2 linked regions of the Drosophila melanogaster genome follow. The protein of the gene in region 1 interacts with the protein of each later gene in a pairwise test. Each region holds a gene or a part of one and is shown in the gene's direction. Other genes may lie near its edges.

The links. The genes of interacting proteins can lie anywhere in the genome.
Region 2: the proteins of GstE1 (region 1) and CG10914 interact in a two-hybrid assay, tested with the Drosophila melanogaster proteins (one large-scale study listed by BioGRID).

What each region holds. Positions count from the first base shown.
Region 1 is NT_033778.4:18,396,445-18,399,731, forward strand, and holds GstE1 (glutathione S transferase E1), read left to right. Parts: upstream 1-1,948; 5' UTR 1,949-1,987; coding exon 1,988-2,662; 3' UTR 2,663-2,779; downstream 2,780-3,287. Other genes in the region: GstE10 (glutathione S transferase E10), read right to left, coding at 299-1,021; GstE2 (glutathione S transferase E2), read left to right, coding at 3,080-3,287.
Region 2 is NT_033778.4:18,156,715-18,160,834, forward strand, and holds CG10914 (uncharacterized protein), read left to right. Parts: upstream 1-1,542; 5' UTR 1,543-1,581; coding exon 1,582-3,456; 3' UTR 3,457-3,596; downstream 3,597-4,120.

The sequences.
Region 1 (3,287 bases):
TGCCATTGGAAATGCACTCCACGCTAGATAGTAATTTATATACAACATAAAAAAAATGTTCGCCATCAAGGACATTTACCGGCCAAGAGCACTTAGATGGCTACAAAGTCTTCAGTTAACTCAGAACAGTATATAGTGAGCCTATACACTGGGAAAAAAAGAAGATTATTCAAACATAATATACATTTTAAATCATTTTGCCAGCAGCGTAAGTTTTAATACATCATATTAAATACCATTTAACATACAATTTTACTTTGGGCAATGCTCTCTTTTCGATGCGACAATGGCTTCCGCATCACTGTTTTCCAGCTCCGCTCTTGATGTCCTCAAAGGCCTTTTGCCACAGCTTGTCAAACTGCTTGGGCAGCTTGGAGCGAATCTTATCGGCCAACAAGCGGGCTCCTCTCAAGTTGTCCTCCTCATAGAAGGGCAATGCGGAGATACGTGCCAACCAGGCGGATAATTTGGGGTATTTGGTCGCATCCACGGGACAGTAGCTCAGGTGCAGAGTGCTCACGGTGGCCACAATGCTAAAATCGGCGATGGTCAGCTGAGGACCGGCCACATAGGGATTCTCCGCCAGAAATTGCTCCAGCAAGGCGTAGGCATCCTTCAACTCAGCCAAACGATCCTTGGGCACCTCAGTGGCATTCTCTTTGAACAGAGCTCTCTGCAATTGCTTGAAGATGCCGTGAAAAAGGACACCGGTCTCGAAATGCAGCCGCTGATCCACCACAGCTCGCTTCAGCGGATCCTTTGGATAGAGCTCATCCGACTGGGCGTACTTGTTCACCAGATAGCCGATGATGGCGTGTGAGTCCCAAATGCATGACTCACCATCCTCCAGCATGGGTACCGTGTGCTGGGGATTCTTGCGTAACATATCCGGCTTCAGATGATCGCCGGCCTGCATGTCCAGCGTATGGAATTCATGGTCCAGCTGGAGGGCACGAAGGGTCAACAAAACGGCACGGACCGGCGGACTGGACTCAGTGCCATATAGAATCAGGTTAGCCATTGTGGTTGCTTAACTAATTGCCTTCTAGCTGGTTGAATTGAGATTCGTAGCAGACAGTGTGCCATCCACAACTGACTCAAGGCAGTCTAAATAATTTAAATTTCTTTCAAACGCGATAAGATTAGATATTAAACTTAGTTTCTTGATAATTACCACAAAGACGTCATAATGCTGCAAGTTTAAGTTTGCCTGATTGTTTATTAATGTCCGGGATAAGTCGGTCTGCTATCTATTAGCTGTGTCAATATTTGATCAATGTCCCCGTGATTTATTTGATCATAGTTGGAGCACCAAAGGGGCTACTTATATACACTGCTAGAAACGTCCAAACGAAACCTAAAGTAACCAGACTCATTAGCAGTGTTTCTATGCAAACATTTTCATATAAATATAATTATAAAATTATGAGTTTAATATTATTACTTCTGTGTATCAGATCATACAATTTTATCCAAAATAACGATAAGCTTTATGCCAGCTTAACTTAAGCTTTAAGCTTTTAGAAACTTTCAAGCTTCGTTAGGAAGACTTGAATTGTAAATTTACATGGGTTCTACATGATTCAAATAGATGTATATTACAATAAATCATAAAACAAGTAACTGTATTAAATTAATTTCTTCTGACAACCAATGTTCCTGAGTTCACAGAGACCTACTTTGTTTTTGATGAGTATATGTTTTTTGTAGTTCACCACTGCATATGGTGTTTTAAAATTAGTATCATATAGATGATTCCAGAACTATCAGTTGGGGGTAATTAATGTTTGTTATGATGAAATAGGCATACATATTATATATATGGTTTTTTTTTAACTGTTTAACACATGGTTTCGAGCTTTTATCTTAGATTTACGAAATGCTCTCTCATTTAGCAAAAAGCTTGAGGCAATAAGGTGTGTATATATGTACAGTAAATAGAGAGATCAGTCGAAAGAAAAACACTGACGGGTAAACAACACGTATCATGTCGAGCTCTGGAATTGTACTCTATGGGACAGATCTCAGTCCCTGTGTGAGGACCGTCAAACTTACCCTAAAGGTCCTGAATCTGGACTACGAGTACAAGGAGGTGAATCTTCAGGCGGGCGAGCACCTGAGCGAGGAATATGTGAAGAAGAATCCCCAACACACGGTACCGATGCTCGATGATAATGGCACTTTCATCTGGGACTCCCATGCCATTGCCGCCTACTTGGTGGACAAGTATGCCAAGTCGGATGAGCTGTATCCCAAGGATCTGGCCAAGCGTGCGATCGTCAATCAGCGTCTCTTCTTCGATGCCAGTGTAATCTATGCCAGTATAGCCAATGTCAGCCGCCCGTTTTGGATAAACGGTGTTACCGAAGTGCCCCAGGAAAAACTGGACGCCGTACACCAGGGTCTGAAGCTGCTGGAGACGTTCCTGGGCAACAGCCCCTACCTGGCCGGCGATTCGCTAACCCTAGCCGATCTGTCCACCGGACCCACTGTAAGCGCCGTGCCCGCTGCCGTGGACATAGATCCTGCTACATATCCCAAGGTCACCGCCTGGTTGGATCGCCTCAATAAGCTGCCCTACTACAAGGAGATCAACGAAGCTCCGGCCCAGAGCTACGTCGCCTTCCTGCGCAGCAAGTGGACCAAGCTGGGCGACAAGTGAAACTAAACTTATATTTAAATATGACATTTCACAAGTTTGAATTCCATCAATTAACAACATACACATCCATTTCTAAAACGTAAACTTCTTCAATAAAATATAACATATATATAAAATATTTAATTTATTTTTTTATTTAATTTATATTTATTTAAATATTTGAATTTATAATAAATACTGAAATTTATAAACTTTAATATGGGACTTGAGTCAGTAATTATTATCTCACAGTTGGGGAACCCGACCGTAATATTTTTATCGCTCATTTATGATATCGTCAGTGTACAATTACAAAAGTTTATTTAAGATACAAATGGGGCAAGCTCAGCGCACCCAATTGGGTTGTTTAGTTAAGCTCGTTTAGATTTCTGTGTGTGGCAAATTTAGTGGAACTTGGGTCTCTCTGGTGATCGCATCATGTCGGATAAATTGGTTTTGTATGGCATGGATATTAGTCCTCCTGTTCGCGCTTGCAAGCTGACCTTGCGGGCCTTAAACTTGGACTACGAATACAAGGAAATGGATCTACTGGCAGGAGATCACTTTAAGGATGCGTTCCTCAAAAAGAACCCGCAGCACACCGTACCACTCCTCGAAGATAATGGTGCCCTTATCTGGGATTCAC
Region 2 (4,120 bases), 240 kb from region 1:
TTTTGACCAAAAAAGAACCAAGATGGCGGCACCATTCGCACTTCCATTCAGTGACTTTGTCTTAATTTCACTCCCACTCCATCCCACTGTGCGGCCAACATGTGTTTTTCTTCTTGAGGAAATAGCGTTGTTGTTGATGCGACTCTCATATGCGCTACACTGGCAGCCGGCTGTATGTTTCTGCGTGGGCGGGGGAGAGCAGGGCATATAGTTTGCCGCCAGAGCTTAAACTTTAGTCTCACGCTCTCTGTGTCCCTCGTTCTCTTTCGCTAAGCGCTCTCAACTTTCAACTGCCGTTATGATTTCGCAATTACATTACAACAACAACAACTTAAAAGGCAGAGCAGACATCGCTGGAAATTCAGCTGCATAAGTGTAAGTGTGTGGCTGTGTGCGAGTGTGGGTAGGCGGCGGCAACTATCTCGCTTGCTCTTGCGCCCGGGGTTATCGGTAGCTTCTTCTAGGCTGAGTGCATTTCGTTGAATCATGGATGTTGAAAGTTGTCTAATTTCCGAACTATTGATTTTTCCCCTTCCCCGTCAAGAAACTGCATTGTTGCTTCTTGAAGACCAGTTTTGGTAACATCAGGAGAATGGAAAGGAGCGAGTGAGTCGGTGAGTAAGTGAGTGAGCGATGCGAGCGACAAAATCAACAACAACAACAACAACAACGGTTCAAAACGAGTTCCAACGAAAGTTGCAACACTCTCAACAATTTGAGCAGCTCCGTTTGTTGTTATTGCATTACTCAATCGGGAAGAACTCTACACTCGACGGAATAGTGTGCTCGTCTGAGATTTATTCTATTTCAATTCTTTTCTTTTGTTTTTGGTCAGACAATGGCGTCGGCAAACGTTCGTGGAAAGCCGCAGGAACCACCAAAATGCCTGGCGTCACATTAACCGAGCCGCCTTTGTTTATGCAAATATTATTGTAATATTTGGTTAAAATTAGGTCGCGCTTCGCGTTACTTTTTATTTCATATACACGCAGCAGCAGCACGCATACAGTCACGTCACGCACACATACAATCGCCGTTCACATACACTTGTCTTTTTTCCACACACTTTCCTAATCATTTTATTTGTTGTGCGCTGCTGCTTTTTACTCGGCGTGTACTCTGTACTTTTACCAATGCGTATATCGCCTGCCGACCGCCGCAGGAGCACGCTAATTGCGCCGTGGACACGCTTTTTCTATATCTTTTTGTTTCAATTTTAATACATACACGCTTTTTTTTTGTCCCGCACTTAACTCACCTCTGCTTTCTCGCTAACGCTGCTTTCTTTTTTCTCTTTCACCGATTTCGATTTTCGATACACTCGTGATTGTTCGATATGAATCGGCCTAATTTCGATGCGTTTTGTTTTTTTCCAGTTAATGAACACAAATTAATGTACTGAAATATCTTTTATTCGATTTATAACACAAAAAGCATTGCTTGAATTGATGCTTGTTATTTTGTACGCCAAATAATATAACAATCGTTCAGATCTATCGGCTAGCAGCCCTGACTATGTAAATGGTTTCGTAGCAAACGGCTTTAGTCTGACACTGTGAGAATTCTTGTGGGCATTGCAAAATGTTTAAAACCACACGTTTATATAAAATTATAAATAAAAATGTGGTTATCACATGTTCGAGGCGGCAGAATACCGCCGCTGAAGTGGGACAGAGCTTTCGGCAGAGGGCGTGGCTGCTCGCCAGAGAGCGGTACAAGGATCATGAGCACGTTCATTACAGCTCTGTTCTGGAGACCAAAATAAAACCCTCTTTCTCGATTCCTGAGACACAACAGCATTTGCCCGACGACTGGATGGACGACTACGAGTTCTATCAGGGCGCCCAGGAGGGAGGGAATAAGCAGGGCACACCGGATCCTTCGTTACCCGCCTCAAAGGTTCCATGCAACGGCTGCGGCGCAGACCTTCATTGCACGAATGCCTCCCTGCCAGGCTATATACCAAGTGAAATATTCAGGGATAGGACGCAGCAGGAACTGCAAACGATCACCTGCAAGCGTTGTCACTTTCTGAACCACTACAACATCGCATTGGATGTGGTGGTGGCCCCATCGACCTATGTGGACACCATATCCCGCATTCAAGACAAATTTGCACTGGCTATTGTTCTGGTGGACCTTCTCGATTTTCCCTGCTCCATTTGGCCGGGCATGCAAAACATATTGGGCGCAAAGCGACCCGTCTTCCTGGTGGGCAACAAGGTCGATCTGCTGCCGCGCGACTCCAACATCTATCTTCAGCATATTAAGGATTCTCTGCAGCGCGAGTTCATCAAGCATGGCGGTGGAAATGGTCTAAATATCAAGAATGTCAGTTTGATATCCGCCAAAACGGGCTATGGCATCGAGGAGCTAATAACGCAGCTGCACAAAACGTGGGCCTACAAAGGCGATGTCTATCTGGTGGGCTGCACCAATGTGGGCAAGAGCTCGCTGTTCAACATTCTGCTTAACTCGGACTACTGCCGGCCGGAGGCCAGTGACCTGGTGCGCAAGGCCACCACCTGTCCGTGGCCGGGCACCACACTCAAACTGCTGCGGTTTCCAATCTTGCGTCCATCGAACGATCGAGTCTATCAGCGCTTTAAGAGATTGGTTTCGGAGCGCAGCGAGAAGGCGGAAATGGAAAAGGAGCGTCGCGCAGTGGCAAGGGAAACGGGTTCAGCGGCAGCTGCTCAACCAGTGGCTCCGGTTGGACGCACCTTCGATCGACGCGAAAATCTCCATGATGCCTTTGCCATGGCCGGTGGCTCGCGACCGATTACAACGCTAAACGATCGGGGCAAGGAGTACAAGGAAGCGCGTTGGGTCTACGACACACCGGGTGTGATGCAACCCGACCAAATATCTCCCCTGCTCACCGCCGAGGAGCTGGTAAAGCTGCAGCCCGCCACCATGATCCGACCGCGCGCCTTTCGGCTGCGGCCCCAGATGAGCATACTACTGGGCGGTTTGGCCAGATTGGATCTGCTGGAAATAACAAGCCCAAGGAAACACTTTGACTGGCTGAAGGTGTTTGTATTTGCCTCAGAGCATCTTCCCATCATGATAGCAGATACACAGGAGGCGGAAAGCGTGTACAAAAGATACGTGGGTTCGCCCTTTCTGGGTGTTCCCTTCGCTAGCGAGAACTTGGAGGCCCGCCTGCGACGCTGGCCGGGATTGCAATGCAAGGATGGGGATATTGTGCTGGCAAGTGAAGGAAGGAACGAGGAAACGAGGCTTAACTGTGATATTACGCTCAGCTCTGCGGGCTGGATGGGAATCCTGCTGCCGGGCCACTCGGAGTGTCGTCTACGGGCCTGGACACCAAAGGCGGCAGGGATTTACAGACGTGAACCGGCTTTAATACCTTTAGCCGATCGATTGGTTGGCAAGCACATAAGGTATTCCCTGGCCTACAACACCGCCAAGCCCTTTGTTTACAAAAAATAAAAAACAAATTGTTTATAAATTGTAAATAAATACAATTGTTTAAATTACTTAATAATATATTCTACCAAACTAAAGCAATTTGCACCGCTTTAGTTATTTTCAGCATACCCCGATTTTTATAATAAAGTTTGTGCTATTATATATTATATTTATGAACTTATAAATTTAAATATAGTTTCAAAACCCGTAACGGCGCCAAAAAGCAGACCCTTGCTTAACGTGCTTTGCAACACTGGCTACTCGCTACTCTTTTTTAAAGCGAGTTGGCAGCGCAGCGTACATAATCGGTGCTGCCGTTTTTTAATAAAAGATAAAAGCTGTTTATGGCTACATGGATTTTGGATATCATGAACATAGCACCTTTAGATACAATAAGCTTAACTTAACAGTATAGTAAAGAGTGTAAAAATATAACTCAAATAAAGTGCGTTTGGATATTTAAGAAAATGCTGACTAATTAAAAAACAGACGTTTATGTTCTTATCTTCCCGCCATGCGCAGCACTATCCTGCGACTAAGCCAGATCTGACGGGAATAAAGCTGAATCGGCAGCACTGCCGCAAGTATCCACTTTTTCACGGGCAACAAATTGACAAAGAAATTGTAAGATAATTTCCTGTGGCGATTGCTGCTTGCGCAAAGCCACTTGCCTTGAAAGCGGGCT